Astyanax mexicanus: one gene and its partners. The protein of the gene in region 1 purifies or fractionates together with the protein of each later gene. This does not show direct contact. Links are inferred from orthologs where the notes say so. Each region holds a gene or a part of one and is shown on either strand. Other genes may lie near its edges.

The links.
Region 2: the proteins of stk11 (region 1) and cops4 purify together in Homo sapiens (affinity purification with mass spectrometry; 4 studies listed by BioGRID and IntAct, with this or other methods). This does not show direct contact. The link is inferred for Astyanax mexicanus from reciprocal best matches to the Homo sapiens genes STK11 and COPS4.
Region 3: the proteins of stk11 (region 1) and fkbp5 purify together in Homo sapiens (affinity purification with mass spectrometry; 8 studies listed by BioGRID and IntAct, counting the BioPlex papers as one, with this or other methods). This does not show direct contact. The link is inferred for Astyanax mexicanus from reciprocal best matches to the Homo sapiens genes STK11 and FKBP5.

The regions. Positions count from the first base shown.
Region 1 is NC_064411.1:47,654,000-47,661,243, reverse strand, and holds the start of stk11 (serine/threonine-protein kinase STK11), read right to left. Parts: upstream 3,051-7,244; 5' UTR 2,893-3,050; intron 1,118-2,892; 5' UTR 328-1,117; coding exon 44-327; intron 1-43. UniProt on the Homo sapiens protein: Tumor suppressor serine/threonine-protein kinase that controls the activity of AMP-activated protein kinase (AMPK) family members, thereby playing a role in various processes such as cell metabolism, cell polarity, apoptosis and DNA damage response.
Region 2 is NC_064427.1:22,631,470-22,639,239, reverse strand, and holds the start of cops4 (COP9 signalosome complex subunit 4), read right to left. Parts: upstream 3,070-7,770; 5' UTR 2,951-3,069; coding exon 2,877-2,950; intron 1,893-2,876; coding exon 1,813-1,892; intron 1,031-1,812; coding exon 879-1,030; intron 749-878; coding exon 645-748; intron 1-644. UniProt on the Homo sapiens protein: Component of the COP9 signalosome complex (CSN), a complex involved in various cellular and developmental processes.
Region 3 is NC_064412.1:16,106,306-16,113,713, forward strand, and holds the start of fkbp5 (peptidyl-prolyl cis-trans isomerase FKBP5), read right to left. Parts: upstream 3,079-7,408; 5' UTR 2,985-3,078; coding exon 2,890-2,984; intron 1-2,889. UniProt on the Homo sapiens protein: Immunophilin protein with PPIase and co-chaperone activities. Component of unligated steroid receptors heterocomplexes through interaction with heat-shock protein 90 (HSP90).

The DNA of each region.
Region 1 (7,244 bases):
ACACTCAACTTTCCTTAGATGACACTACTTATGTTGTACTTACTTTTTCACATTGGCCTCTCCATTAGGGATCCTCCTGAGCTTCTTCTTCTTGAGGATCTTCACAGCTCTCCTGCACAGAGTCTCTGAGTCCAGCATCTCCTTGACCTTGCCGTAGGAGCCCTCGCCCAGCAGGTCCCCCATCAGGTACTTTCCGATCAGCTTGGCTCGCTTGCGCCGTGGCTGGTAGATCACCTCGGTGGAGTCGATGCGGTGGATAAAAGTGTCCATGCCCATAAGCTCATTCTCAGTCAGGTAGTCCAGATGCTGAAGCTCGCCGACGCTCATCTTCTCTCGTGACCCCCTTGCTTACTTTCACTCTTTTCTCCCACAAATCCCCCCGGTGCAACTCAGTTAGTATGGGGTGGGGTCTGAATCCAGAAATTCAGTCTGATCGAGGGTGGGGAGGGAGAGAAGAGGAACTCACTAGATCGGCATCAGAGATGATTCATGCCTGAATGAGGGCGGCAACAGCATTGCTTTCAAACAGGCTCAGATACAGAGGGACAGTAAACATGAGTGGCAGTCGTTGCCAGGAGGGGAAGAAAGAGGGCTCAGCAGAGTTTTAACTGGGAAAGGAGCCAGGGAGGTCCAGTGCAAAATATAAAAGATAGAGGAGTAAAAAAAAAAAAAAAAGAAAGAAAAAGAAGAGAGGAAAAAAAAAAAAAAAAGAAAACCCAAACAGGAACCCTTCACTTCACTCACCACCAACCTTTTAGTGTCCAAAAGATGCTGTCCAATTACAAGAAGGCTGGTATTAGCCTACATTTGGTATGACTGGGCCCTTATTCATCTCTGACAACATATCCAGTGCAAAGTAAACCAGTTCCCGAGGTGAAATCCGGCCTTGGGCCTGCAGTCTATTCCTTCTGCACGACGGATGGGATGATGAACTCTATAGCAGCAGATACTTCAAGCCAAGACACATCTTCACAGTCCAGTAACAGCAATGTTGTGTTTATAGGTCCAGCAAGCACTTCTTTGGTGTACTCTATAGATGCTGTAGATAGCTTCTTCTGGATGACCTCCTATGGCAAACCGCAAACAGTGCTTGTCTTAGGACATCCAAAAAAAAAACCTGAAACAGAGGAAATAAAAGGATCAGAAACAGAAAAACACAACTGAACCCCTTTCATAATTTAACAGATGAGCAAAGATGCTTCACAATCATTTATTGATAAAAATAAGTCAACATAAAATATAGGGGAGGTTTTCTAGACAGGAATTAAGTCTAGTCTAGGACTAGGCCTAATTACCCATATTTACTCAAATTAAGTGTTACCACTTTAGATCAAACTGTTTCCTGAACAGGGTTTATACAGTTTAAGCCTAGGAGTACATGATGACAAGGATTATGCCTAGTTTTAAGACTACACAGCATTTTAAATGTAGATTTTTTTTCCCCTTTGAGAAAAAAAAACTACTACAGTAAACGACTAGGCTTATTTCTTGTCTTGGGAAACTGCCCAAAGTTCCAAAGCTTTTATGTTTTTTTTTGGTAGCCCCAGCTGGGAAAACAAAAGCCTGACTAACTCAATCAGGTTTACCAGTATAGGATAGCTGTATTTTCAATCAAAGTTGATAACAAATAGCCTAAATTAATATTAAAATGTTTCAGATGATTTGGAGATTTACACCAGATTGTAACAGAAGTCAATGTTCCAACATGTTATGATACTCATAATGCAAAGAACAGAATATTGCACATCCCTACTAGCTAGGTTGATTTAAGATTCAAGATATTTATTGACATATCACAGTACATGTGCACAGGTGAGTGAAAAACGTGGGTGCAGGTTCCCATTAGCATACAAATAACAATATTTACAACATATCAGAATAATTAAATTAAGAAATATGATTGTCCATCACCATCGTCAACTTGACCATGCTAAAACATACTTAAACTGTATAATCCAGATATTTAATAGGTTACTTAACCTAGCTAGCTAGTTAGCCAAGTATAAATATGACGTGTTGAAGCAGTTAAAGGTCTACAGGTTAAAGAAAAAAGACATTTATCACTATAAAACTATAAAAGCAACAGTAGCTGTAGTAGCTAAATCTATCCAGGTTAACTTAGCTAGCTACCTCTACAAACACTGTCAACATATCTTAAGTACACAAGTTTGACAGCTATATATTTAGCAAGTTAATTAGCTATCTTTGATAACTAGAGTTTGACAAGCCAGCTAGCTAGATGTAGCTAAGCTAACCTAGCCAGCTATGTTAGCCTACTACCTAGCAGCAAGCTAACCTGAATGTCGCACAGAAATGTGAGACATATTTAACTGTAACTTCTTCACTACAGCGAAATAGCTCCTTAAAATGCATTACACCCTCCGTGTTCATGTTATAAAAGTCTGCAAATTATATAAAACAAGCATACGTGATTTAAAGCAGCACTCAATGAGAAAGGTTACCATTGATAGCTGTGTTAGCTAGCAAGCTAGCTAATCCTTCATGGTTAAACTAGCCAAAGTAAGCTATTCTAAGCTAAGCTAAGCAACAGACCCGAGTTCCCGGCCGCATAGCGAAGAATGGACACCCGCAGCCCTCAAACCGCCTGTCAAACCCGGTTAAAACACATCCACACACAATTAAGGTCCACTAGCAATTAAACACACAGCTTATTAAGCTATCTATCTGTTTCATTTAGCCAAACAAGCGCGGTTTAAACAGATATCAGCGGCGGAAAGGCAGGCCGGCCGGCCGGAATGAGCAGTCAGTCAGTCAGTATACCTCAGTAAGGCAGCAGGCTAACCGGCCAGTTAGCCCCACTCACTGTAAGTGAATCCAGCTGAACTAGGCTAAGCTAACCGCCGCTCAGCAGCCACTGTACCCGGGTCTCACCTCAGCACGCGGACACTAACAAGCCAAGACCTGAAACTCCTCGGTCTGAGCGCTGTTAGTGTTGTCACTCCAGCACTATAACCAATTTCTCCGCTCCAGCTTTTATTGATGCAGCTGCTTCAAGGCTGTCGCCATCTTGTTTACCTCCCCCCTCGCGCGCGCTCGCGCTCTCTCTCTCGCTCTATCTCTCTCTCGCGCGCTCTCTCTCTCTCTTTCTCTCTCTCTCTGTGGTAATACTGTATACTCACTTTACACTTTACTATGGAGTCCCTAAGGTGACACAATGTTAAAAATAATAATAATAATAATAATAATAATAATGTGTGGTCACGACTAATTAAAGCGTGGTTATGAGATCCTAAAGTATAGATAGATAATTAAGGAATGCGAATGAGATAATTAAGTCATGGCCACGACTTTTGTTTTTGCTAGCGGTTAGCTGCATTAGTTAGCATCTATCAGCTAAACCTAACAGACGTGTTCATTTGTTTATTATTATTATTATTATTATTATTATTATTATTATTATTATTATTCATTTAGGCGCTTGTTATGTGTGACATTTCATAAGGTGACATTATGTTAAAAAAAATAATACGTGGCCACAACTAATTAAAGAGTGTTAATGAGATCCTAAAGCGTGGAAATTATATAATTAAGGAATGTGAATGAGATAATTAAGTCATGGCCACGACTATTTTTTTGCTAGCGGTTAGCTGCATTAGTTAGCAGCTAACAGCTAAACCTAATAGACTTGTTTATTTGTTTATTATAATTCTATTATTATTCTTCACTTAGGCGCTTGTTTTGTGTGACATTTCATGAGGTGACATTATGTTAAAAAAAAGGGTGGCCACGACTAATTAAAGCATGGGAATGAGATAATTAAAGCATGTGAATAAGATAATTAAGGCATTTGAATGAGATAATTATCTTTTTGCTAGCGGTTACCTGCGTTAGCTAGTTAGCAGCTAAACATAACAGACGTGTTATGTATTACGTGTTTATTCGTATTAATTAGGCAGCTGTGTAATGCTAGCAGCTGTGTTATGCTAGTTAGCTAGTTAGCTTGCTTGGCTAGCTAGCTAGCGTTCGCTATTTAACTAGTTAGTTAAAGCAGCCAGCAGAACTTGTTTGACAGTGTTGTTGAGAAAAAAGTAAGACAAAAATTATGTGTTTTAAATGTTTATAAGGTTAATTTTTAGCCATAAAATGTTAAACAGTTTTCAGACTAACGTGTCTGTTTTCATAAAGCTCAGATAAACCAGCTATTCTGATAAGCTGGCTCACTTCACTGTTAATGTTGGTCAAAGTGAAGCTGTGTCGTGACCATGACCAGGTGTGAGATTGAGAGAATTATGGCGTGTGAATGAGATAAAGGTGTGGCCACAACTTAATAAAGCGTAGGAACAAGATACTAATGTAAGGGAATGAGATAATTAAATGCATTTGAATTATATATACTAGTGAGTTCATGGCCTCGCCCACTTCGGCTCAGGAGCTAACAGTTTCTGTTTACAGAGCTAGTTAGCCTTAGCTATCTTGTGTAACTATAAGTTTAGATCTCCGGTTGATTCCATGTTTAACGAGATCTTAAATATACACTAGGGAAGCACTGTTTGACAAGGTAGCACAACTCGATAGAACACCAGTTAAATTGTCCAGGCTACTACCGTCAAGCATTATGACCAAGCTGGTTGACCAGTTTGAAAAGCATGACCACAATTGATGAATAAGATTATTTTAATTGTAAGTTATTTATATGTTATTTACCTGTGTTTAATAATTAAAAGTTTAAGATAAGATAAGGTAAACAGAGGGTTAGAATATTACAAATTCTGCTGAAAAAGAGCATTATTCTTCTCTCAGGCTGGACCTGAGAGATCAGAGCTTCAACTGATACATCAGCTAAGAGTTGCAGAGTCATTATTAACCTGCCATTTCACTGCCAGGATTGAGCAGCTGTGCTGGCTCTGCCAAGCCCACATTCGTTGCTGCTCTTCTGCCTGCTCCTTTTGCTTAGCTGGCCAACCTGGGTTATATTTAACAAGTGTAAACCCTGGGGAATGGCACGCCAAAGCTCCAATTACAGGCCTGCGCTCCCTTTCTTCATAGAGTGCAGTCTTTGGGGAGATAGGCCACACTGTGGCCTCTGCTGGGCAGGCTGCAGGTCAGTTGGCAGGACCTTGTGGGGTGGTATGAAGTAGGCCTGACTTGCTTAAGAGCTTAGGATGGAAATGAGGCAAATCCTAATTGGAGATCATCTAGCCTCGCTCATTCATTCATTAATTTGTTTGATAAACAATGATGTAATGAGTAATATGTGCTTTTATTTCCAGGAATTGACATCTGAATCTAATCTGACAAAGTTCATAAGATAACACTTTTTATCTGAACACATACATTTTTCTTATAAGCAAAAGTTTTGGAACATATAAACTTGTATATCTGTATAAACTTGTATTAACTTGTATACATAAAATGTATAAAATTGAATACGACTTCATATTCCATTGCAGTTTTCACTAACTTTTTCATTCTTCTTTTGTGATGCTTTTCCAAGCATCCTCAGTAGGGTTTAAATCTGAATATTGAATAGGTCTACATCTAATAGGAATAAAACCTTTCAATTATTGCCCCTAATAAACTCCTCTGTAGTTTTCACATTGTGTTTTTGAGTTATTATCTTGCTGCATGATGAAGGATCTCCCGATCAGTTTTCTCACAAGAAAAATGGTTGGGTTCAAGTAAAAGGTGCTGTCTTCTAAACTGTGTATTAGATTCAGCTATATAAATACCTGGAAACAAAAGCTGAAATGTTGAAATATTTTAATGTCAAATAAAGGGATTGCCCTGAATCTTGTTTCAATACATCAACCACTTAGAGATATGTTACATATTATGGTTATTCTGAAGGCTTTTATGATTGATAGAAGGCTTTACAGGTCTTTGAGCTCAGAATAAACACATATGTAGCCCTAGGCCAAAGAACAGTTTTGATTCAGTCAGTAATCCCTTTACAAATCCCCATGTGCCGTCCACTTTATTACTCAGTAAGTATCTGCCCTTGTGTTTCCTCTCCTCCTCTCAGCTTCACTTTTGATCTCTCACATCTGTCTCCCTCTAGGGGTGGTTCATGCTGCAGTAGCACTGCAGGCTGCGGCACTGCGCTCATTTCAGTGCATCAAAGTCATGTCTAAAATTAAGCTCCACTGTGCAGAAGGATTGGCAAGACTTCCATAAGAAAGTTCATACCCATATAGTAGAAAAAAACTGTATGGATATTTATTTCTTCATATGTAAAAAATAGTTTCAAATAGTTTTAAAACTCTTGCAGTAACGATGAAAAATATATTTTGGCTTTCATCTACTATGTAAAATGTACTTATAAATGTACATATATTTATTTTCGATATGGGTATTCTAGCCATTTAAGCCTAAACAGCCCTCATGACTGTACAGTACATTAACACAATAGTAATAACATAGTAACAACACAGTGATGACATAGCACTAATAATACATTTGTAATAACATGGTAATTGCACAGTACCCAAACAACTGCAATAACATGTAACAACACAATAATAAACACACAATTGTAATAATATGGTAATAACCCAGCAAAAAAGATGTAATAACACCATAGTTATAATGTAGAAAAGCACTGTAATAACAGAATAGTAATTACAATGCAATAATATGTAATAATACAATAATAATAACACTGTAAAACCATAATATTAATAAAACAATAAAAACACAGTAACAACACTAAGAACATCTTAATAAAACATTCATAATAACATAGTAATAACTTCGGAAAAAATATGTAGTAACAATAGTAATAACATGGTAATAACACAGCACCATAACAATGGTAATAACCCTGCAATAAGATGTAATAACACTAATTATAATGTGGTAATAGCACTGGAATAATAGAATAGTAATTACAAAGCATTAAAATGTAATAATACAATAATAATAACACTGTAATAACACAGTAACAACACAGTAAGTACATAATCATACATTATAACATGATAGTAATAACATTGTAATAGCACAGTACCCAAACAATGATAATAACACTGCAATAACACGTACTAACACAATAATAAATACACATTATATATAATTTTATATAATATTATAACATTGTAATAACCCAACAATAAGATGTAATAACACTATAGTTATAATGTGGTAATAGCACTCTAATAACAGAATAGTAACAACATTGCAATAACATGTAATAACACAATAATAACACAATGCTAATAAATGGTTATAAACAAACATATCCTTCCTTTTTTTTACAATCATGACTTAGCATGTGCAGTGCGTCA
Region 2 (7,770 bases), on another chromosome or scaffold:
TTTTCAGGCAGCATCACATTATGTGCAAACTATAGTATTTGAACTGTCTTAAATTCGTTGGTTTCTTGATGCCATAAAACTATTGCATTTACATATTGAGTATTTCAGACTGGACTACGTTTTTATCAAGGCACAATACATGGGAGCAGTGATCAGAAGAAATCCCTTATATTTTTACGATATTTAAGTTCATCTTGCCACTAAATGATTCACAGAAAATTTAATTCAGTAAAATGTAACAAGAATTTCTCATTTTGAAGAAAGTAGTAGAGATCTTGTGGGCTACTTTAAGGAACAATGATTCTACCAGATTTCTCCTGGATGCCCCCAACCAGCACCACAGTGGATGTGTTCAATTCTGTGAGTAGCTCAACTGTTTTACCAAACTAAGTGTAGATGTGTTGATATTGTCTATAAATAATACAAGACTCTCATCTTGAGAAGAGCTTTGGAGTTATTTTAATATACACATTTTTTTTGTAAATGTAAGATTTTTTTATGTAAAAAAAAGAAATGTATTTGTATTTATCCTAAACAATATTATACTAATCAACACTTCAATTCTAAGGTTTTGCTTTTCAAATGACACACAGATCATGGGAATAAAAAAAAAATCAATTCAAAGGTAAGGTAGACTGACTTACTTCTGTCCTGTCTCCAGAGGTATACCCACTAAAACCTGTGCAGCATTTCTCCAGTCCTCTTCTTTCTCATATATAGTGGCTAGATGCTGTCTGATTGAAGCCACCTGAAAGAAATAGGAAGGTTTAATGTAGCACTCTTGCTAACCAAAGTATAATCATTATATAATAAATATTGGTGAAAACAACATGAGTGTGCATGTTTGAGCACAGTACTGTATAATTGTCCAAACGCACCTGCTCTTCAAAGGAGATAACTCTTGGCTGAATCTTCTCCAGTGTAAAGTGGTAGACAGCTTTAGCTGTGCTGTCGGGTAAATTTGGTAGGTGTGTGCAAAAGTCAGTGAGTAGCTGCCTGGATATCACCAGACTGACATTTTCATTGACCACTGCAGAGGAAGAAGACAACAGAAACATCTCACAGCGAGAAATATATAAACTTGGTGTACCAGAGGTTAAATAACAGCTAAGGGTGTTTAACACCTGAAAATCCAGAGCAGAGTCCACACCAAGGTTTGCGTTTTTGTTACATTAGATACGTATGGTCCGGTTAGTTTAAGTATGGTCCGTCATCATCACCTACTTGTAGTAAATCTCCCTAAACTTCACATTAATTAGTTTGTAGAATGTTGTTACTTCTGTGAACTGCTTTTCCAGGTGCTGTGCCAAAGTTTACCTCTCTACCAGAATTGAACTCTCCATCGCAGAGATAAAAGATTCCCCTCGGATTGCTTTCATTTCTGTTTATAAATAAAGCTTAATCTACAGTTACAGTAGATACTGGAATCACCAGCGAAAGTGTTTGCATCCATGTGTCTGCATGACGTGCCTGCACGCCAATGACACGCATTTCAGCACAACACCAGTTCTGCCTCAGCTTCCAGTAATTGGTCCAAACGTTTGAAACCATCTAGAAGTGTTTACACACTGAAGATGGACCAAACCATTAATCAGTATATTTTGTCCTTTGGACTCTTTGATCTGTTGTTTGCAGACCCTTTCACACGTTGTTATTTTTTTTTCTCTTTTTTCCCGTTTAGTGTTATTGCATTTCAAGTGAAATGCTCCAAAATGACTCTTTTTAAATCTGAGAATGTTTGTCCTTCTTCTGTGAAAAGACCATTTAAAGCTACAAGGTGTTCTCTAATGAAATGTGTGTTGGAATACTTACTGGCTTCAACAAATGCTTTCAGTGCCTCCAGTTGTTCTGCATCTGTGAACTGTATTGCCTTATCCAGAATCTGACGATACCTACAATAAATGCATATTATACATTAAAAATGCAGTCCGAAAACCAATATACTGGCTTATCAGCTGTTGTTTATCTGTACACTTTTAAAGCTCTCAGTGCCTCATTTTAAATGTCAGAATTGTACCAATAAAGTGCGGAGCTACTTTGAGGTTTCCAGCTGGCATTTCAATGCTGAATCAATGTTGATGCATACAAATTATGCAACTAGCTAACTATCTAACTATATAACTAACTTAGTGAATATACACAGCTCTGGGAAAAACAAGAGACCACTTAAATATGATGAGTTTCTTTGATTTTATCAAGTTAAAAACCTCTGGAATATAATCAAGAGATGAATGATCACAAGCCATCCATGGATGATCACAAGCCACATTTATGCACCAGGACTGGCATTAAGTAATCAAAAAGCAGTGTGTAAGATTGGTGGAGGTGAACATGCCAAGATGCATGAAAACTGTGATTTAAAAAACAGGTTATTGCACCAAATATTAATTTATTAAAATCTTTATAGACTATATAGATATTGCACGTTAGCCAGAATTAGAATCAACAAAGCTACTTAGCTTAGCATGCTAACAAGCTAACAACCATGCAGATAGGTCTGTGGTTAACTAGGTGCAGATACACTGTAATAAAATAAACAAAAAGTGTCCGAGTATAACGATTATTAAAAGCTTATATAATATGTTTTTTTGTAAAAGCTAGCTTTCACAAAAGTCGGAGTTCTAAAAAAAAATAAGCTCACCGGCTTAGCTATGGTAGCTAGCTAGTTAACTCCTCGATTAGCATTAGCATAAGCATAAGCAGGCTCCTACAGTTAGCTGTTACAGTTAGCATGAGCGAGTTAGCTAGCATGTAGCTGCACCTTCTAGCCACGTCCTGGATCTATATTAGCTATATTAAACCCGCTGTAATAAAGCTGCTGGGCTGGATCTGCACATAAGGGAATAATAAATAAAAGCCGCAGTAGAAATCCGTACTTTCCAGCGAGGTCTTTGTGAGATCCGCTGGAGTTCATCAGCTGGGCGAGCTCCTGCCGCACACCGGACGCCATCTTCCCCAATACACAACAACCAGCAGCGCGGAGATCTGATTTCTGACAGGCCGAAGGGCAGCGCACTCTCCACGGGGTACAGCACCACCAATGGCCGGTGTTCTGTCGAGTTGTGCTATCTTGTCAAACCGTGCTACCCTCGTGTATATTTAACTGTAAAAATACAAAAGAAGCACCATATTACAGCATGTTCACAGTAGAAGTCCCAGTAGATGTCGCTGGCTAGTATATGTATTTGGATAGCATAAATCACTATATCATGTTAAGGTTATGGCAATGAAAGCTTTTTTAATAAAAATAATTATTGTATTTATTATTATTAATAATTTTAATTCACACTTTTGTGCAATGACAGTGAGTCCAAGAAAACAAATAATATATTTTTTATATAAAAAAAACACGAGATCAAAAAGTAAAAGTAAAAAAGTAGGTCAGCGCATGCGCAGTACCTTTAAGAAGCATATATCGATGGGTAACATAACTCGACAGAACACCAGGCCCTCCAATCAATTACCCGATGGTGGCAGGGACTAGGCGATATGGTAAAATAATAAAATCGATTTTCGATATTCTTCAAATATATATGAGTGATTAGATTTTTTAGTTCTTACATATCAACTCAATACAACAGATTTGCCAAACTAATAACAAGGAGCAGAAATTTCAAATATGCACATTCATACTAAATTCATAAATAACTCATAACTACCTATAATATAACTAAACATATAAACTAAATAAAAAAAAAGTCTTCAGAGGAAAAAGGTATGACCCCTATACATCTGGATTGCATTTTACAATTTTTCACACTGGTGTTTGCTTTTCAGTTTGGCACTAATTCCACTTCATACCCGGCCAAAAAAAACTTAACTAAAATGGCAAATAGCTTTTTGACATTTCATTTTACCTCCCAAATAATAGGCGGTATATCCCCATTTGCCTGACAATGAAATTTGAAATGTTTTTCCCACTCCTCCATGCAGAAGTCTTTCTGCTGTGTGAGGATTCACGTAGTTTTCTGTACAGATGGCCTCACATTCTTAAAGACCAATTTATATTTCTGTAGCAAACCTATGCCATACCCTATGCAGACCCTACCCAAAAGTGTAACAGTGCACTGTGCGATGCGGACAGCAGCAGCTGTGATTGGTCCTCTGAGTCGTTACTAGTTAGGGTTTAGGGAGGGAGTAGTGTGGAAGATGGGTTATGAATATGCCATAGTTATAAGTTAGGGTGTAGTAAGCAGTTGTATATGTGGCACTGGGAGTTGGGAGTAGTGTGGAAGATATGTTGTGTATATGGTGTAGTTAGTAGTTAGGGTGTAGTGTATAGTGAGCAGTATATGGGTGTAGGGAGTAGTTTGGAAGATACTGTAGTTAGTAGTTAGGGTGTAGGGAGCAGTTGTATATGTGGCACTGGGTGCATGGAGTAATGTAAAAAAGTATGTATGTATGTATGTATATGGTATTGTTAGTAGTTATAGGTGTAGTGTAAAGCAAGCAATGAAATGGGTGTAGTGAGTAGTGTGGAAGTAGTGTTGTGTAGTTAGTAGATAGGGTGTAGTGTATAGTAAGCAGGATATGGGTGTAGGAAGTAGTGCGGAAGAAGTGTTGTGTAGTTATTTAGTGTAGTTAGTAGATAGGGTGTAGTGTACAGTGAGTAGTATATGGGTGTAGGGAGTAGTTTGGAAGAAGTGTTGTGTAGTTATTTGGTGTAGTTAGTAGATAGGGTGTAGTGTATAGTGAGCAGTATATGGGAGTAGGGAATAGTGTAGAAGAAGTGTTGTGTAGTTAGTAGAAAGGGTGTAGTGAATAGTGAGCAGAATATGGTTGGTAGTTGTAGGGAGTAGGGCGTAGGGAGTAGCGTGGAAGATGAGACACTAGAAGGAGCCAACTCCTGCGCGCGGGCGTTCCCTGTAGACGTAACACGCGGGTTCCCATGGAGGCGGAGCCTCATTATGGGATGTTAGGGGTGAAATGGCGCTCGGCGCGGTATTTTAAACAATCGGATCTGTTTCGGGAAACGTAGCGAGAGAAAAGCGGTGCGGGGCCCAGCTGTACCGGACCGGACTGGGCCGTGCACGAACACGGCGACAAGCGTCCACATTCCCGAGGAAGCGACCGTAATAGAACTGTAAGATTCCCGGTGCTGAGCTGCGGGTTTGGGGGGATCGGAGCGGGTTAGCCGCCGAGCTAACAGCTGATATGCGCTGTTTAGGTTCAGCAGGGCGGACTTTCTGTTCAGCTGCGGCTTCGCTGTAAAACTGCTGACACCCTGAATAGAAGTGGCTCAAAATAGAGCTGCAGACCACTGATTAATGTTATAGGACTATACGATTATAATATAAGTATATATCAGTTAATTTACAGTCTAATTGAGGGAGGAAATTGTGACATTTTTTCTGGTAGCTTAGCTAGCTTAGCTTAGCTTAGCTGAGTTGACAGTAATGACAGCAGCTATTTAGTGAGTTAGCTATAGCTAGTTAATGTGTTTTTTCTGAAACAGGAGGGCTATATTACATTTAATTAATGTAATATATAACATTTTAACCCCTTAATAGTGTGAAATCGAGGCAATTATTTTTATTGATCTTTTATTATGATTGATTAACTAATTAATTAAAATAACTATAATGTTACTAGGTTAGAGCTTGAGAAGAATCAGATTTTTTTTATTTGTGCTGTAAACTGATTGTATTGGTAGCTTAACAGAATAAACTTACAAGTTTAGTTGCATTACATCTTTTAAGGTTGACAATGAAAAAACAACCTTAAAATAACATTTATTTATCATTGCTTAAGGGGTAATTTAAGATTTAAAATATTTGAGCAGATGAGCTTTTCAACACTTTTCTTCACTGCAAACCATAACATTGATTCAATGCATTAATGATGAAAGGTGGAATGTATTTTGAGATTAATAGCTGGCATTAGGTGTTTTTAAAGAAATCACCTGGCATTTAAAAATATGCTAACATGCGGCAAAATATGTGTCAATAAGAGCATGCATTATGGTTTGAATAATAATCAAGCTTATTTTAATCAAGATAAAATATAATAAGTTTTGTAGCTAGTGCTAAGCAGAACCGATGCTGTGCATCACAAATTTTTAGGTCTGCAACGAATGATTATTATGGTATTCAACTAATCTGAATTATTTTTTTCAATTAGTCAACAAATATTTCTGCTATGTCCTCCACTTCTAAAAACAATTAAAACAGCTGATCATGAGATTTAAAAGGAATTTACGTGTCTAAATGTTGTATAAATGTAAAAAGATACTGACACTTAGTGAGTAAGTATGTAATCTGTTGTGTTTGGGCACTTTTGGAGTTGAGCATAAACTGTTTGAGTGAGACATTTATCCATCTCCCATTGCGTTTCTGTCCCCAGCACTTGTGTAATACGGCACTGTTGCAAATGAACGATTAGTCGACAATAACATTTGTAGTCAAATCAACATTATCGAGTTTATTGACTAATCATTGCAGCCCTATGATTCTTAACATTGCAATTCTTTAGGGTATTTTTGCAGTAAGGATATTCTTGCAGATATGAGCAAACATTGTTTTTTTTTGTTAAATTATTTTTTAAATATTTTACTTATTATAAATGTAAAGACATTATGTAGAAAAACAACTCTCTAAACTTTTGTCTGTAATAACTTACCCAGACTTTAACCAGATTGTGTATGAAACAATATAAAGTAATATAACAACAAAACTCTACAAGAATACTAATGTGCAGATTATTTATAGATTATTAAACTACAAAAAGTGCAAATAAACTGAACATTTTTGCTATTTTCGCAATATTTCGTTTTTGTTTTAACGTTTTTTAACCACACCTACTCTGCATACTAGCAAATAAACTATTGTAATTGTTTTTTTATGTATATATTTTTTGCACGTTTGAATATGCTTTTTAAACTCTTTACCTCCACGATAATCCCACTAAAAACCCACCAAAACTAACCAAATCCCACCCAAAACGCACCAAGCCGCTCCGCTGTTGTTTTTCTCGCGTCTGGAAATGAACTGATGACGAGTTGAAAATGGCGGATCTTTCGAAATCCAACCCGGGCCTGAAATAGAAACACAGCCCCGCTGCCCGCTTTCCGCAGGGCTCTTCATCACCACACCTCGCCCTGTTCAGCCTGGATATGTGTACTTTTATATCGACTAATGATTATTCAGAGAATGCAGAGTAATGTCGCGATTTATGTCATTTAAACAGGAGCAGCGCTGCTGAAAAACATTAACGCTAGCTGCCTGACTCGCCTTTCTGACCAGCACTCACACTCACAGAGAGAGGAGGTAGGACACAAACTGTAATTTTTTTGTTAGTTCTGAGCTGATTAAAGAGACCTAAACCGTATATACCATAAGATTACATCCAAATAAGCCTTTAAATAATACTTTAAACATTCACAGGCACCGTATTTTATATATGTTAAGACCCTTAGCTTTAAAACAGCTAGAAAAACAAAGCCTCTGGTAACTAACCTAACGTTACTGCGTTTAGATATAGCGTCAGGTTGGTTAAGCTATAGAATTAATTATTTAACTAGCTAGGAAGTTAGCGTTAGTTTTAAGATCAAATTTCAGGAATTTACCAGCAAACCAGTCCGTGTTTCTTTAGCCAGAGGCTGTTGGCTCCTACAGTTTTATGTACTGAAACCTATAACCTAATGTTAGGTTAGCTAACCCTGCTAGGTAGGTAAGCTAGCCACACAAATATTAGCCAGCCCTGACAGCTCATCCCCCTTTACAGCCCTGTTAATGTTAATCTGGTTTATTTCCTAATCCACACAAGCAGAGA
Region 3 (7,408 bases), on another chromosome or scaffold:
ATTTAAATCTCAACATAAAATGATTTTATCAGAGATTTCATCAATACATCTGTATAACCTTATCTCTTCATGCTCCGGTAAAACAAGATCTTATCTTCAGGCTGTGAGTTTTCTGAGTGGTAAAGCAACACAGAAACATTTCAACCTAGTAGGTTCGATCAGAAGAGAGAGGTTAACCTATTACACCACCAAACCATGAGACATCTCTGATCTCAGATTTCTATTTCCCAAGACTATCTTGTCGCTGTCCACTGAAAAACAATCTCTATCTCTAAAACAGCAACTTTACAGTTTATTAAATTTCAATGGAAGTCAATGCAAAAAGAGTTAATTTCATGCAACTTTGGATCATTAATATTGGTCTATTCATCAAGAAATTTTGACGCAGTGAAAAGATTAGTGTGTTTAAATGATGTAGTAAACTAAAAATCAACTAAATTAGAGATATTTGTTTTTTATTGGACAGTGATGATCACTGGTCACTGCCCTAAAATGATCTATCAACTCAAACAAAAGCCAGCAGCGTAATTGGTGCTGTAATTATGTCCATCCACGATGCTGTTTGGGGGCTAATTAGGTTGAACGGTTTAAATCCGCAGATTGAGTGAAGATGAGTGTCTCGTGAGTATTACGTCTAGGGACTGACCAGAGAGATGTAGGAACAAAAACACATCAGAGAAGAGAACATTCAGTCCAGTCCTGCAAGATACACACTATGACTCAAGGCTCTTGCTCAAAAGAACTTAATGTTTATCCGCACACACAGACGCACACGCATGCACACACACATAGAGGAAATAAAGCAAAAACATGTACCATGATATATGTGGAAACACCCCATTCATACATATGTTTAACTGATAACAATGACAGCAAAATACAATTCAAACCACATGGAAATGAAGATACACACTCATATGAAAGTACTGAGCTTTAACTCAGACGTGGCCACTGTGCTCTCTGGACGTGACGCATGATGATTTTGAATACAGCATTATATGTTAGCTTCTCAATTATGTACCTAAAATTTAAGCTGATAAATCTTCAATTAACACTCATCAATTAAAAAATCACATGGTCTTGCATAACCAGTGAGCATTGGTTTTTTTTTTTTTTTTTTTTTTTTTAAATAGCTTTTAGTGTGTGTGGTGGTGATTGATTAGCGAATATGCAAAGAAAAAATATCAGTCTTAGCATTGACTTCTGTCTTTTTATGTAGTATATAAATTTAAATATTTGCTCTGTGAATGGATTAGCAGTATTAACATTTAAGGAGCTGAATTCAGGTCTACAGTATCTGGTCCTGGGAAAAAATGATTAAATATTTGCAATATATTCTAATTAAATATATATAAATTAAGTAATATATGTATTATATAACAGAGTATATCATTAGAGGTTACATTTTCTCATATACATATACCTAATGGCTATTTTTTCAATATATATTCCTCACACCTAATAGCTTCTCTCACTGCTGTAAGCACAATTACCAATTACTTTCTGGAAATCTGTGTTAACCTACATGAGCAAGTCTTATACAGGTCATTGCATCTTTACATGATTCTTCATTAGATAATTGAATTAGACCTCAGCTCTCACTCGTGTGGTTCACTCTCAGCATACGCTCCTCGAACAAAGATGAAGACACATGGCTGTTGACTCATTTCGTCCTCAAACACATCATCTACACCAAGACACAACAGCTTAACAGCAAAACAGCTTAACCTCATACACACCGATACACACAAAATGACACATATGTTCTTCACACATGTGGATCTCTTCTCTCCATTCCACTCCATTTTCATACACATCACTCTTCTTTATATGCCTTCAAACAAAAGGCTCAATTTGTTACGTGTCAAACACAGCATTCCACTGATGTCACTTTACTCTCCGCTTTGTACAAAATGTTCCAAATGAACAGGTATGTCCTGCATGCAAAAAGTGGGGAAATTATCATACGCACACACTTGCATAAGTCTAAGAAAGAAATCCTTGAATGTTGGCCTTCATTGGGAAGACAGATAAGCCAAGGCTAAACAGTAACATTTCAGTCTTTGTTCATAGTAAAGTATCTGGCCTCTCGTATTTACAGAATCCTTCTAACATTACAGCTTATAATTAAATGCTTGGTCCAGACAGTAGGCAACACTTTAGTTTTAATGATGGGGACACTGGGTGAGAGAGTGTGTCTCCACATAAGCCTCTGTACAGAGAGAGAGAGACGGGTTTACTGAGTTGTTTTGAACTCTCTTTCTCTCTCTCCCTCTCATCAGTGTTTAAGAAGATGCCTCAGTCTCCCTCAGTCTCTCAAACTGTACATGTATGTGCAGCTTAAAGCAGGACATGTATGAGCTTCGTGCATGTTTTTAAATTATGTCATACATAAAAAATTATGTGCATAAGTTGGGTTTAAATTGTTCTTTGTTTTGAAAAGTTAGCAGATGACATAAATGACAATGCATTTTCAATAATATACATAACATGTTGGAATTTCTTGCAGTAAGTAGATAGATAAAAGATCATTTTAACTAAAAGACTGATATTTAGTACTGTGTATATATATATATATATATATATATATATATATATATATATATATATATATATATATATATATATATATATATATACATTTTGGCCTTAATATGTTTACATCTACAGATGGATATAGGTTATGTTTAAATAAAGAGAACAGTTAAGTGTACCAACTAGTAATATTTTGTTTTACTTTTTATTTTATAATGATGATATGATTTTTATTTAATGGTTCTAACGTTTTATCCATTACAGTTCAGTCCAGCTTGTGTGTTTACATGATCAGCTGATGGGATGGTGTGGTGGAAGCAGCTAAAGGATGATGAAATTAAGGAAAATACTCACAGTATTTCTCTTTTGTACCCGGGTCCTTTCATGTGTCTCTCCGTGTGTATCCGCATGTAACTTTGGCTGAGTCTTACCGGCGACGAGTGCAACATGTAGCGCGAGCGCTTTAACGGCGATGCGCGTGCTGCTGCTCTGACGCCGCCCTCCCGGCGCGAGAGTACTCAATGTTCCACCGGCACGTTTCGCCGTGGGTCTTTTTTTTTTTCACCTTAACCTCACCCGTATTCCGAGAAGCCACGCCCCCCGGCGCCTGGATTGGTCAGTATTTCACACGCTCGAGCGGTCCACTAACGGGCCAAATTACTGGCCGGTGTTTTTTTCACATTATTATTATTCCAGTCCACGTTCTTTTTTATGTATCTTTTTATTCTTTGCAACCATTGCATTCCTTTTTACTAAGTAAATTAAGTGCGATACTCCCTTTGTGCCCCATTCCAGACTCCTGCTCATGCTTTAATGGAACACAGTGTAATAAAGAAGACGGACTGCACACGCTGATCCCCTTTTTTGGCAGGATTAAGCTTTAAAATACATAAATAATCACGCATTTCTTCTAGAAGCTGTGTCTCAGTGTGTGTGTGCCTCTATTAGCATGGACTACTGACCAATCCCAGCAAATGTGGGCGTGGCCTGTCGGAATATGGGTGGGGTGTAAAACACAACAGCGCTCAGGAGAGCCACATGGAGTAGACTGGGGAAGGGGAGGGGCGACGAGACATGTGGGCGTGGCCGAAAATCCGAGAGGCAGGTCCTGTAAACTCTCCACCACCACAAAAGTAACACAGTGTTCCGGCTGTACTGTAGCTCGCTGTGATGAGAACACAGTGTCCTAGCTCAGACACCCTGACCCGTAACCCGTTACGCGCCGACTCCCGCAGGGAACAGCGTGTTCACGCAGCCTGCTGTGCGCTACGGACACACCGCGAGCATTGTGCTTAGTCCAGATAGCCAGATAAAGTTTAATTTCTAGCAGTAATAGTATTAGTAAAAGGCTTTTTTTATGTCTTTCAAAAACATATTTTTTATTATTTATTTATTGATAATTTTGTTTATTTGTTGTTGTTTTTCTTTCTTTAAACCTTACACCTTTCTCAGTCTGGCCTCTTTTTCGCTTTGTTAAATTAAATATATATGAGTGGCTGGGCAACATAAGAAGACTGTAAAAAGACTCACACCTGTGTTCCTCAGCGTAGTGCTCGTGTTCGCCTCAAAGAAAGGAAAAGCAGCAGAGTGTATAGTGCCAACAGGAATGGCCTGCAAGAAAATAATCAGATTTCTGTGAATAGGCCTATTGTGAAATTTTCACTGTAGATCAAAATAGGTTGGTACATGCCAACTAGACTAAACAAAAATACCATCTGCAAATCTCCACTAATTCTGTTGAGCAAGTACATTTATTTATTTTTCAGAGCTCAATAAGTAAACATATTTCATGTTATCAAAGCATAAAACTACTCTTCCTCCGCTATATAGCTATTGATTTGACTATAATAACTTAAATAACACACAGTTATACCTGTATTTGCAACATGTTTGTTCTCTCATAGTGCAGCAGGAGACATGACGTTTCCCCCTCCAGCTGATAACCCTCAAATCCAAAGCCTGTCTGCCTTAAGATCTTCTTAGTCATACTGTCCTGCAAGAGATCAAGACTCACTGTTATATTAATTGTGGTGAAAAAAAGTCTAAGCAATAATTACTAAGTTCGTGACAGTGATAAAAAATGAACCCAAATCCAATATATAATGAATGGTCTGGAATCAGCTTGTTTTTCTTCATACACTGAAAATAAAAAGGTATATTGTATGCCAATGTATCACTTTGACAGAGCCTCATGTTTTCGAGTGTCAGGTTGCCAGAAACTGTACACTTTGCTTCTGCAGGCACCGTATCATCACTGAGGATAACAGCATCAAATGCAGACTAGTCTTGATGCCTAAGCACGCAGTTGGCAGTTTAACAAGGCTTAGTGTGCAAAATGCTCATTAAGGATGACACAAGAACTAAACAAAGAACACTCAGAGCCATTCAAGGACACAGGTTCAGAACAGCACATTACCCTGCCAGGACTGTGCAAGTGAGGCCAAAGATCAGCATTTGCCCGACTCCTGCTGTGTGTGTTTTAAAAACAAATTAACCTGGTAACATTCAGAATGATTTTCTTCTCAATTGTCAATTTTATTAAACATGCTAATCAGATCCATGTTTGTTGCCAAGATTTTAACTGATTGATTGTTTACCATGAAAAACAGTGCTGTGTAAGAGAACATGGTGGTTATTGAGCAAGACTTACAGCCAGTTTCATAAAAGGAGTCAAACATTGTAATGAGGAACAGTGAGGTGTCTTCACTGTCAGGCAAAGTACACCACACCCAGTGTAAAACATGGCCTACACAGGTGCTATTCTTTGACTTGAACTTTTAAGTAAAGGTCACTGTCTTACATCATCTTTATTTACACAAAATGATCCTCTATAATTAATGTTTATTTTCTTTAATTTAATTATAATATGATTCTTTCTACAACAAATTGGAGAGGAACTGATTGTGGAAAGCTACTATTCTGTTATTATGTTAAATCATAGTGTAATATTATTTTTATGTTTATTTTTCTCTGACTTTGAAGTATTTAAAGGAATCTATGACAGCAGTTTAGTTTTCAGGATGTGACTCAATATTTAAAATTGACAGCAGGCTATACAGCAACTGCACCACCTACAAATACGACCATCTGTTTGGATGATGACATACTGTACATTTCAGTTGACTGCTGAGAATTCCAGTAGCACTAACTTATGAGACACCTAATTATAATGAGACACCTGACTGCATTCCAAACACATTTTCTAGGATCTAAAAGCCCATTTAACTCTTCACCTTTTCGTAGACAGTGTCTGAGAGTGTCCTAATAAAATAAAAATTGTATTTCTGCCCTTAATTACTGACACTTTGTAGTTCTACATGTAGTACATCATGCTACAAAAATAAGTAACAATATGTCATTACTTCATGATGTTAAAACAAATGTGAACAAAATAATACTTAACACATAAAAATACTTAAAACATAAATACTTTATATAAACAAATATAAAAAATAAGCATAAGCTTCCTGTAAAAGCATTGCTCTATTTTTTGTTATTAATCTCAGTACCTGCATGCATGTGGTTTACATGCATATCCATCTGTCTACAATACAGTGACTTCAGTTTTGCTGTGTATACAGACAGATAAGGATCATCTTTCATATATATATATATATATATATATATATATATATATATATATATATATATATATATATATATATATATATATATATATGTGTGTGTGTGTGTGTGTGTGTGTGTGTGTATTCCCTGTTTGCAAGTCTGGATGCTACCTGTATTTTCTTGTCATGAACTTGTACTAAGCAATTAAAGCCTAGTTAAATTTTTCTATAAAGCGTTTCACTTTTAAACTAATTTAATCACTTTACGTTGGGGTCAGAAGTACAGTAGATGAAAAATCCAAACTGAAATAAAAGGTTTTAAAGGTTGTAAAAGACAGAAAAAACAGCCTTGTGGCTTGTGTTTTTAAACATAAACGTGAATCAACTTTCCCAGAATAGCAATGATAAAAACGTAAAAAGCGGGGGAGGAACATGTGGTACATGTTGTACTCATGGTAGTTAATTTCCTCTATGCAAGAACACGACCTCAGAATCCCTCATGATACGTTTAAGAAATAAATAAAGTAAATGTCTGTGGGTTCTGTCGCTGTCACTGCTTTTCCACTGTTTTCTGTCACTTGAAATAATTTATTGCCAGAACCATTTCATAATAGCCCACAAACACACTTACACACACACCGAACAGAAAAAGGGGTCAGTTCACAAAAACAAAACTATATATATATATATATATATATATATATATATATATATATATATATATATATATATATATATATATATTTTTTTTTTTTTTTTTTTTTTTTTTTTTTTTTTAATAAAATATAAATATTAATATTAAATGTAATATTCATACTATATTTTAGATGATGAAAGCCTTGCTGAGCTACTGTCAGGTGTGCTCGGGAAGGGAATGGTTAAACCTGTATAGAACACGGGGTCCCCAAATCTGGAGCTGAGGATATGTGATTTTTTTTGTTCTGTTATCAGAGAGAAAAACAACCCAAACGGAACAGTTTCTATCTATCAGAACAGAACAGTCTAGCGGTGAAATGTTAAAATTAGTCCTGTTTTCGGGAGCAGGGTAAAATTGTGCAACGCTTGAATATGGGCTAGTCTGTACCCCCTGAATCCCCCTGAGTGTGAAAAGGATTCCATCACCAGCGCTAAACACCACAAGCTAGCTAAATCTGCCGGAGCGACAGTCCACCCGGGAACAAAATGTCCTTGTTACTCATAACGTGGAAGTAAGTCGGCTGGTCCATGGCGGAGCCGTCAGCCGGAGCGAGTAAGGCTTTAGAGCTTCGGAACAAAAGACATTTTTATTGCGGAGTTCAGGGTAGCCT